3 linked regions of the Ovis aries genome follow. The protein of the gene in region 2 interacts with the protein of the main gene of each other region in a biochemical or structural test. Links are inferred from orthologs where the notes say so. Each region holds a gene or a part of one and is shown on either strand. Other genes may lie near its edges.

Region 1 (3,148 bases), on a different chromosome or scaffold from region 2:
AGAGGCTCATTCACTTTAGTGTTTGCAATAACGGCAAAATAACAGCACCACTTTTTCATGTAACTCTGTCTTTTAAAATCATTGAAACTGGGGCAGGAGGGATAGATTGGGAGTTTGAGATTGACAAACACTGCTGTATTTAAAACAGATAACCAACCTACTGTATAGCACAGGGACCGCTGTTCAGCATTCTATGATAATCTAAATGGGAGAAGAATTTGAAAAAGAATAGATAGAAGTATAACTGAATCACTTTGCTGTACACCTGAAACTAACACAACACTGTTAATCAATGATACTCCAATATAAAATAAAAAGTTTTTATAAATCAGTGAAACAAAATTATTTTCAAATTATTGGAGATTCTTAGGCAGTTATTTATGTTAATTTCAACACTGATATATTCAAATCTCTTGTGTAGATTTTCTACAAAAGCTTATTAGATCAGTTGTCCTTTTCTGCTTATTGCAGATTGCAAAGGTATACACATTCTACAAATGATTACACATTTGTTCTGTTAAGATTATTAGTGCTGTGTATTATTCTTGGAGAATATCTTAAAGTATAAATGGTTCAGAGTTCACTCTTTAACAAATAATTTTGAAATAACCATATTACACCAACCAGTATTTTGGTGTTTAAAGAAGCAGTGTGTGTTAGGATAATGGAATGCCATTATTTTAGTCACTAGGCTGTGTGCATGCAGTTTCTGGCTCTACTTTCTTCAAGTTCAGTTCAGTTGCTCAGTCGTGTCCAACTCTTTGCAACTCCATGAACCGCAGCATGCCAGGGCTCCCTGTCCATCACCAACTCCTGGAATTTACCCAAACTCATGTCCATTGAGTTGGTGATGCCATCCAACTATCTCATCCTCTGTCGTCCCCTTCTCCTCCTGCCCTCAATCTTTGCCAGCATCAGGGTCTTTTCAAATGAGTCAGCTCTTTGCATCAGGTGGCCAAAGTATTAGAGTTTCAGCTTCAACATCTGCCCATCCAGTGAACACCCAGAACTGATCTCATCTAGGACGGACTGGTTGGATCTCAAAGGACAAGCTTTAATCTGGAGCCACTCTTCTTCTGTTATTTCTCTGTACTTTGTGGTGATTAGCATTATAAACGGGGGTGTTAATAACTTCTTACCTTTGTCAAAGACTCACCTAATAGCTCTAGCTGGTCTAGGGATTAAGGGACCAAGGTATGGCTCTACCTCTACCACTCTGTTTACCTGGGGCAAGACATTTATGCACCTCAGTTTCATTAGACGAGTCCCTCCACTATTAAAATTCTGAGTGTGTGTTTGAAATAGCTTTTATGTCTAAACATAAAAACTGTCTAAAACTCTGGATTGTTGATGAATGAACTAGGGTGCATTTTGATGTCTTTGGTCTGTCAGTGTAACTGCTGTAATGTTTTGCTCTGCAGTTTTTCCTATGATGGCAGGTGGAAACAAAAATTACAGACATCTGTGGACTTTCCATTAGAAAATCTTGACTTGTCGCAGTATGTTATTGGCCCAAAGAACAATCTGAAGAAATACAACTTGTTTTCTGTTTCAGTAAGTATCTCATTGACCTAAATACTTTTTCTTTCGAAGCAAACTAAAAAAACAAGTTTCAGGTTGTTCCTTACCTCACAGGAAAGTAGGAACTACATTAAGGCTTTGAAATTATTGACATATTTTAAATAATTCAATTTGAATTGATTTTCTATCTTGTTTGGTACAGAATCACTACGGTGGGCTGGATGGTGGCCACTACACTGCCTATTGTAAAAATGCAGCAAGACAGCGGTGGTTTAAATTTGACGATCATGAGGTTTCTGATATTTCCATTTCTTCGGTGAAATCTTCAGCAGCTTATATCCTCTTTTATACGTCACTGGGACCACGAATAACTGATGTAGCCACATAAGGAGAAGTAGGTTTTAAGCTAGTTATCTTTTAACAGGCTGAGCAACACAACTCTTGAATTGCTTATAAAGATTCTGGATAGGCATAGCTGACCATTTAAAGGACTTGTAGGACAATGAGAGCTGTGTTACTATATCATATACTTCTGGTCAGCGCCATTATCAAAAAACTGACCAAGAACATTTAACAAGTATTGCAGTAAGCATTCCTTACAGGTACCATTTATTTCAAAACAAGTTTTTTAGTTTGCTCCAAAGTTAAAATAATTAACTAGCTAAGCATTATTATTCTGCTGGTCTAAAAATCATTGTATCCTTTATTTTCCTATTCACTGTTATGGCCTTTTCACATTTCTAAATCCCAGCTTGATCTAATGAATACTCTAGAATGATGTAAAGCAGATAGGAATGTATGTGTATATATTTATTGCACACTTGCACATCAAATCAATGTACATAGTATAATATGTGGTCCTTTTGTGAAGCCTAGAACTCAGAGGATTGCTCCCCCCCGTCCCCTTTTGGCCTATTCTGAGTAACTGCAGTGCTTTCTTAGGGACATGACAGGGCAAAGCTATTTTTCTGTTGGCTTTGGGCTGTATTTGTGCACTAAATCTTTATTCTAAAAAAATAAATGGAAACTTTTCTTTAATTTTTTAAATGAGAATTTTCATTTACACCTACATTAAAATCTTAATGAGAAAAATAATTTAAAACCCTGTAAGTGTTCTGTCTTTAATTTTACACTGTTGAACAGGACAGCAGAATTATAATTTTTCCACACAGTTTATCCCAATACAGTGACTTAAAATTTAGTACACTTATTCTGTTGCATTACTTGATTCCACTCTTCCTTCACCTTGACCATGAACTGCATATAGCACTTATGATTCTCTCAAGAGTTGAAAGTCAAAGTAGGATATAAAACCTTAACACCCAGGCAGACTTATTCTATCACGAGTAGTAGAATTCTTAGGATTAAGGTAAAAAGATGACAGCAAAGTGAACTGCATTATACACCACATCTTTACAAATTAATGTATTAAAAGGGATAGAGGAGCATAGAATTTATCATTTACCTCAGGGACTCGGTTGTTACAGGTAAAGTCAATATAAACACTCCATATAAAAACAAGATTATAAAGGTGCTCCTGAAAGATGTCACCATTAGTGGATTCCCAAGAAGAGGATGAAAGAAAATCGGTTTGAATTGTGAAATGGACGACTTTTCATGTTCTGCA
Region 2 (4,221 bases):
CACTCCTGTTTCATACAGATGAGGAAACTGAGAGACCGAGAAGGAAGTTATCTGTCTAATCCCTAATGTCCTGCATTTTTCTGGTTAACAGTGCTTTGATATTATAAGCAATATTGCCATAAATAACTTTGTTCATGTTGTTAAAGCAAGTCTTTAGGGTAAATTTCAAAAAGTTGTTGGGTCCAGAGGTATTCACAGTTTAAAACCTTGTGTTACACACTTTCAAATATTTCTACTGGGAGAGTAATTATTTCATTTAACAATGAGTGTACGATTCCCCACATCCCTGGTTCTTTTTCATCTTTGTCTGACAAAAACGTATCTAAACGCTACTTTAATCTGCATTTCTCACTTTTAAAAACGGGACCTCAAGATGGATTTTTTTCTAAGCACTCTTCGTCTATCACAACACTCATCTTGTTGACATGTTCTAAATATTTACATCCTGCAGTCAGCAGTTATGGTAAATTTTGGTAAATTTACATGCAAGATGCTCCAAGTTCCTCTTAAGTGGGATGCACAAATCTAGAAGATGCTCCTTAGAATTTCTACAGGATACAGAGAACAGTTTTTGTTATTGTTAAGAAAACTTATAAATAAAATTACTAAGTAGTTTAAGTTATTACTAACCACCGATCAAACTTTAGATCCATTTTTCAGCCCTTTTTTTTTTTTTTGCTCGGCTTTTTTGGGGGGAGGTTGTCTATCGCAGACCTTTTTGGTCAACTGCCAATCACTGTTAACAGCCTGCGGATCACACAGCTAGTAGCTGCCAACGCCCAGCCAGAAGAGGTTTCGACAGAGCTTCCAGGCAGGCCTTCGGGGACTCGCTGGAAGGTGCCAGCGCCGCCCCAGCCTCCGCGAGGAGCCGCGCGCCTGACACTCCCCTCTTCGGGATTCGGGCCAAGCCGCCCGCTCACATGACTTTACCAGAGGAAGCTTCCTGTCACCGCGGGCAGCGACCTGAACTCATAACCCCTTTTACTTAGATGAGGAAAGGAGTTTCCATCCTCCGCCCTAGGGACCACAAACTTGTGACCACCATCGGAGCACGGGGGAAAGAGGGTTTCTCTCTACCCAGACGCGACCCCGTTTCTTTCTGCTCAACCTCTGATTCACGCTTGAGCTCGTTAGTCGTCTTCGGCGCGCCTGGAGGACCCAGTCCTCCGGAGGCTTAGGACCAAGGCCAAGTCCGGAAAGGCAGGCATCCCTGCCACTGTTCCGTGGGGCCAGTCAAAGGGGGTCCGGGCGGAGGGGGCTCTGGGGTTGGGCCGGTTTCTGCGGGGCAAGTTCGGGGCAGGTTCTGGACAGGCGAAGCCCAGGGCACCCAGATTCCCGACAGGCTCCGCGTCCGGGGCCTTCGCGGCTCCTCCGCTCTTGCCGCCGCCGCCGCCGCTGCCGCGGTTGCTGCGGGTCGGGGAGAGCTGGGGTTGTCGCGGGCCCGGAGAGTCCGTCTCGGCCACTGTTTTTGCCCGAGGAGACTTCCTTCCTAGGTCGCACCCTGACTCCTGTGGTGTCGAGGGGGAGTCCCTGCGGACACCTCTGCACGCAGTGGAGATGCCTCTGTTTGCCACCAATCCCTTCGATCAGGATGTCGGTAAGTGCTTCTGCCGCCCCCTGTCCACCCCCTGGCGGACCGCGAGCCCGCTCGGCCCGCTCCCGGCGGACCGTCTGGACCCCCGGGCTGGGCGGAACCCTGCTTGTTTCCTGAGGCTCTTTCTGTAAGGGTTTGGAGGAGGTTGGGGGCTTGTCGCATCTTCTTGAAGACAAAAAAAGGGGGGAGACTGAGAGAGTCTGGGAAATAGGCCTGGAGCTAGGGCTGTGGGTTCCTAAAGAACTGGAAAGGTGGGTGTCGAAGGCCGCGGAGGAACAGCTGGTGTGGCATCTGGTGCTGGGACATTGCTCCTGGGAGGACAGAATCGAGAGCTAGGGAGTCCCAGCTGGCGTAGGATGATAAGCTGTGTGATAAAGGGTTTCTCAGGCACATGTCAAACGTTGGGAACTGGGATAATGTTTTAGGTTAGCTTCCTTAGAGGACTTTAAAATCTGTTTTATAACTGTGCGAGGGAGAGGAAGGAGAGAGCTTTGGTTAAGGGTAGACTCTTAAAGATACTGGGAGAGAGATGAAGATGGAATACTTGACAACAATATAAACACGCTTGAGGACCTGAGTCGCTGGGATGCCTTCCTAGTGTAGGTCTCAGTACTTTTAAGTGTAGAATAGGACCTGGGATCTGAAAATGCTAATTTGTTCTGAATTTGAAATACTCTTTTTTTGTGATTGTTTTGTGAATCACAGGTTTTAAGTACTGATCATATCAATTCAACAGGTTAGCTGTGTGTGTGTGTGTTTTCCTGGGCTGAGGGTAATAATGACAGGAGTTTGAGTTTTCCCTGAGAGAATTTTGGGGTGATTTGAATACACTTAGTAACTACCTTGGCGCACAGGTGTGAAATGAAAGCAGGTTAAATACCATGTCTAATTGTTATAGTCAAGAAAAATAAGGATGATCTTATGGAATTGCTATTTCTGTGTTTACATAGTTAATTATGAAAGGTTTGAATTTGCTTTTTAATTCCCAATTTATAGCCTGCCACTGAAGCTTGAGGGTTTAGGTTAAGATTAGAAAAGGTTTCAGTCCTGTCCCTGCCACTCCCTAGCTCAGAGGGAAATCATGGGCAGGTTACTTAAGTTCTTTGAGTCTTGGTGTCCTCATCTTTAAAGAGAGGGAAAATACATCCTGTTTGTGGTTCAGTGAAATAACATGTATCTCCTGCAGTGCCTTTAGATAGTAGGCATCAACTCAATGATAACTTTTTTGGGACATTTTAAATGAATGTCCTGCATCTTAGCAGTGGATGGAGCTTTAGAGGTCACTAGGAGTATTTAATAAATAAATAATTGGGAAGTAACATTTAACTTAATGAGTACTTAGCACACACTGTTTATAGGACACTGCTCAGTGACGTAAGATAGTGATGAATAAGAGACGTGGTCGCTGCTCTCGAGCAGTTTTATAACTTACTACATTAATTTCCAGGGCAAATGGTTAAAGCAGTTTCTTAATACCTGCTCCTTCTGTTTCCATCACCTTGATCTAGTTTTCATGGTTGTATGTAACCGAGCTTCCACCTACCCAGTCATCTTTATATCCCATTGCCCTTTGAACCCGCATTTCCATTGGATTCTTAATGTCAAATCCTTTCCCAGTACCTGCACCACCCCATTCAGACACAGGCTCCATCTTGCTTTTACACTTTTGCTTGTATTGTTTCTTCTACCTTTCTGCACCTCCTAATGATTAAAGGCCAACTCAGCATCCAGCTCATACCTGAATCATATCCTGATTACCCTAACCTGGAGTTTCCATAGGTGACACTACAAATGGTTTGGACCAGGTAAATGTCTTTGTCATGGGTATCTGTCCTTTTCAATGTAGGGTGTTTAGTAGCATCCCTGACCTCTCCCCACCCAACCCACAGCTATGATTTAAAACATCTCCAGACACAGCTAAATGTCCCCTGAGGGCACAAAATAGTTTCCAGTAGAGAAACATTGTTCTATCCCACTGTTGCCACTCTTTTCAGACCTCCTGCAATACTTTTTGTCTTTACTAAATTATTTCGTATTAAAGGTAGTCGTATCTTGCGTTATGCTCCTTAACTCTTACTTGTTGCTACAGAGGAGATGCATAATTAAAGTTTGTTGAATTGAGAATGTATCAGTTGAACTTGCTAGGGTAAGCTTCTTGAGTACAGGAGCATTGTTTTGTTCCAGAAAAGCTTACTTTTTTGCTTGCTTGTTTGTTTTTGGTTGCTCTGGCTGGTGACTGGCAGAGTCTTAATTCTCTGTCAAACCTGTGCCTTTGGCAGTGGAAGCAGAATTCTAACCACTGGACCACCAGGGAAGTCCCAGAAAATTATACCTTTGAAAAGCTAGGTTTTAATGTTTGCATCAATTCTTTCCCCATGATCCATGTATCAAAATATCATGAAAGGTTATCTAAGAAGACTTGCCAGAGACTCCCAGTAAATCATCCTTGGACAGAGTCCAGTAGACTCCCATTTAAAATACTTTTGCTAGAATAGCATGCAGAATATAGTATGTATAATACATATAACTATTTCTTCTCACTTTATCCATCAGTGAGCATATCAGTGATATACTCTCACTAACTCACTTGATATATTTATCACTTAACATTAGCATATATTTTTACC
Region 3 (3,651 bases), on a different chromosome or scaffold from region 2:
TGCAGCAGGACGCAGAGTTGGGGACCCTGGTCAGCCTTGCCAGGAGGCAAAGCAAAAACCCGACCCCGAGAGGGGCAGGTATGAGAGCAGGGTTGGGCAGCTCACCCTATAAATCAGGGCCAGCTATTTCTGGCTGCTAGCCTGGTCTGTCTGTCTGCCCAGGGCTGTGTCTCTCCAGGAAAATGCTTCCCTCTTTGAGACATGGCAGACCTCCTCTGTCTGCCCTGGGTGGGTTCACTTTCTCCACTTCCCTTCCCTTCCCTTCCATTGACACCCCTTACCCCACCCCCACAACCTCCTGCTGATGACCTCCCAGGAGAACTGGGAAATGGGGGTCCAAGCTGGCCGGGAAACATCTTGCTCACTGTTTAAAACAATCTGAATTTCAGATTTTTTTCCAAAACAAAATTAAAGGACATGCAGTCTGGAGAGGAAGAGATTAGAAGCAGGGCGATAAGGGAAGCGGGTACAGTGATGCAAAGGAAAAAGTGCTGAGGCCTGAGTCAGGGTAATGGAGCCACCTCCCCCAGGAAGCCCTCCCCACCTGCCAGCCTTCCCCAGTGCCCTTGGAGTTTCCAAGGCTGGAATGCAAGGCCCCTCCTCTCCCACTTCCAGGCATTGTTACTTCTGTCTTCCTCCAACTGAACCGTGCCTGTCCTGTCTCCCTCCCTCTGCCAGCAGGCAGCCCGCACCCACACGGATAGAAGCTGCACCCTCCTCACCGCTTGTGGATCTTCTCCTCCAGGTTCTCCGCACAGAAGGCTTTCACTTCGTAGTCCACACCGCAGGCCTGCAGGGGAGGGTCGCTGACCTCAGTGGAGAGGGCCGGCTCCACTGAGCATGGCCTACCCACCCTCTCATTTAAGAAGGCCGCTGGATGCGAATATCAGGTCCCCAGGCCTGATGCCCTCGTCTGAGTAGGAGCCCTGCACTCAGCCTGTGCGGAGCTGCCTCCCTCATCTGACCCTCCCACAGAGCAGCTCCCTGACCAGCTGGGCTCCAGAGTCCTGGCTGTCTGGGGGGCACTGTCCTCAATAAGGCAGTTGCCCAGAAATAACAACAAGCTTTCAGCAGCCCTATATAGGACCACCCCCACCCCCAACCATATAGACCCTGCCCTGGGCACCCCTTCAGCATCTTGCCCTACCCTTTGGACCAGATGATGAGGTACATCCCACCACATCCATTTCACAGATGAGGAAACAGGCTCCGAGCTCCGAGGCCTGGAACACTCGTGGGGTCACCTATGTCCGAGCCTCAGTTTCCCCACCTGTGAGACAGTGATGACTGCACCTCCACACAGGGTTTGTGAGGCCGGACGGTTTGCCAGAGAACATTCTGCAGCCAACACCGAGGCCAGCGAGAGTGACTTGGGAGAGGCCCTGGGCACATAACTGAGTGTAGGGGATGAGGGTGATGCCATTATGTGCCGCCCTGTCTGAAAAGACTGCTTATCTGAGGTGGGATCAGCCTAGCTTACACACAAGGAGGCTTCTATAGGGAGCATTCCAGCACCCTCCAGACAGAGAGAGAGCTGGGGACCTGGGGACACAGTGTCCTGAACCCAGAGAGATGCTCCCTCGGGGATGACCCACCTTCCCTGTATCTTCAGGTCCCGGCTGCAACGTCACAGAGCATGGGAGGTTCGGAGGGATCTGTTAAGAGGACAGAGACACCTGTCACATTCACCGCTGACCTCCCCATGCCTCCCACCCCCACACACATTCATCAGACCTGGGCCCCTAAGGACTGACCACGTCCCTTCCATCAGACTAGGCAATTCACAGGACAGACCATGTTTACCCCATCAGAACATGCTAAGCTATGCCTCATGTTACACTAGAGGCCCCTGCAATAAAGCCAAGGATTTCAGTGCATCGCAGCCCCCCCAGAACAAGAGCTGAAAAGGTCTTTCTACGATGTGCACTGTTGTAGGTAGAATAATGGCCCCCTGAAGATGTTCACATTCTAATCTCCAAAACCTGTGATAATGTTACCTAAAAGGGCAAAAGGGTCTTACAGTGTAATTTGGTGAAGCATCCTGAGATGGGGAGATTACCCTGGATTAGCCAGGTGGGCCCACCATAATCACAGTGTTTTAGCAGCGAAAGCAGCATCACAGTGATGGGATTCGAGAAAGACTGGACCGGCCATTGCTGGCTTTGAAGATGGAAAAGGGCTGGGTCAGGGGCCAAAGAATGTGAGCAGTTTCTAGCAGCAGGAAAAGGCAAGGAAGCAGTTTCTATCCCAGAGCTCCAGAGAGAATGCAGCCCTGCTGACACTTGATTTTAGCCCATGAAAGCTGTTTTTGACTTCCGACCTTCAGAACTGTAAAATAACACATTTGTATTCTAATTGGCAGGTTTAATTACTGCTAGGTTTGCAAGGGTTCATTACAGCAGCCATCATATGTCTATAACAGAGAGGATGGCTCCTTATCCTCTCTCCTCTGACTTGCACAGTCAGGGGATTTCACTGAATCACAGAATCAGAGTCTGAGAAACAGGAGGTCTGAAAATCCAGAATCCTGGAGTGGAAAGGCGGCTGCGCAGGGAAATCCAGTACTTGCCGTTCTTGTTTGGGAGTTGGGTTGAAGCAGGGTTAGTGGGCAGCCAGTATGAAGGAGGAGACAGCCTTGCAGTGACCCGGGGGCCAGAAAGGACTTCTTTCTCTGCAGCATCCCCCTCGACCCCTCCTTCTCCCACTGATGACCTGGACTTGGGAGGGTCTGGGTAGCAGTGCAGAGGTAAGGGTGACACCTCTGGCAGCGGCCAGAGAAGAGACACTTACCAGGCAGCATAAGTGCCAGTGCCCTGGCCCCAGGGTACACTGGGGAGACTGCATGGCCTGGAGCTGCTGCCCCAGCTGCCCCCGTGTGCCTGCCCAGAGGGCTTGCTAGAGGTGATGCTTCTGGAATGGGGCCCCAGGGGCTGGCAGTCCCTGACCTCAAAGGTGAAAGGGTAGGCATGCTCGCCCAGCTTCTTGATGAGGCGCTCCTGCAGCCGGGTCAGGGGCTTCTTGTCCTCCGGGGCCGGCGGGAAAGACTGCACGTTGGCCACAAACAGGTCCTTGCGAAAGGTCAAGCCCAGGACATCCAGGTCCTCCCGGCCGTAGCGGAAGGCGCAGGTCAGCGTCACATAGACTGTGGGAGCAAGGGGGTGCTGAGGAGGGGCCAAGAAGGGTAGCAAACATGCCCCCCACCCAGAGTGCCAGCTGCAGCCTGGGAACTGGCTCCCTTGCCAGTCTCTCGGAGGCACACATCTGTCCCAGAGCTCCTGCAGGGAGGGCAGTGCTGCCCTTGGGACAAGGGTGTCAGGTGCCTGGCCCAGGGAGGAGGCGAGGGCTGACTGCTGGATGGGTTCCTTCCTTCTCTATCCCCACTGCAGTCCACGGCGTGTGTGCAGAGGGCCTGACAGGGTCAATGGGGGCCTGGAAGAAGCACGCTGGGGAAGATTAGAGGGCAGGGAAACCAGTGCTAGGTGGTGTCTGGAAGGCCCAGTGTCTTGTTCCACCCAACCCCCATCTCCCGTCTTCCTGCTGACCTTAGACAACCCCTTGACTGCCTCAGGAATAAGTCTTCTCTTCTGTACAATAAGACCCTGCCTCCTGCTCCGTTTGCATCCCCAAGCCTTGCAACAGTCACGATGGGCT

What was found.
Region 1: the proteins of STAM (region 2) and USP8 form a complex in vitro, tested with the Homo sapiens proteins (2 studies listed by BioGRID). The link is inferred for Ovis aries from reciprocal best matches to the Homo sapiens genes STAM and USP8.
Region 3: the proteins of STAM (region 2) and ARRB1 form a complex in vitro, tested with the Homo sapiens proteins (2 studies listed by BioGRID). The link is inferred for Ovis aries from reciprocal best matches to the Homo sapiens genes STAM and ARRB1.

The regions. Positions count from the first base shown.
Region 1 is NC_056060.1:57,956,633-57,959,780, reverse strand, and holds the end of USP8 (ubiquitin carboxyl-terminal hydrolase 8), read left to right. Parts: intron 1-1,421; coding exon 1,422-1,554; intron 1,555-1,723; coding exon 1,724-1,909; 3' UTR 1,910-2,613; downstream 2,614-3,148. UniProt on the Homo sapiens protein: Hydrolase that can remove conjugated ubiquitin from proteins and therefore plays an important regulatory role at the level of protein turnover by preventing degradation. Converts both 'Lys-48' an 'Lys-63'-linked ubiquitin chains.
Region 2 is NC_056066.1:31,499,117-31,503,337, forward strand, and holds the start of STAM (signal transducing adapter molecule 1), read left to right. Parts: upstream 1-1,394; 5' UTR 1,395-1,557; coding exon 1,558-1,597; intron 1,598-4,221. UniProt on the Homo sapiens protein: Involved in intracellular signal transduction mediated by cytokines and growth factors. Upon IL-2 and GM-CSL stimulation, it plays a role in signaling leading to DNA synthesis and MYC induction. May also play a role in T-cell development.
Region 3 is NC_056068.1:53,219,144-53,222,794, forward strand, and holds part of ARRB1 (beta-arrestin-1), read right to left. Parts: intron 3,143-3,651; coding exon 2,946-3,142; intron 1,656-2,945; coding exon 1,596-1,655; intron 791-1,595; coding exon 723-790; intron 1-722. UniProt on the Homo sapiens protein: Functions in regulating agonist-mediated G-protein coupled receptor (GPCR) signaling by mediating both receptor desensitization and resensitization processes.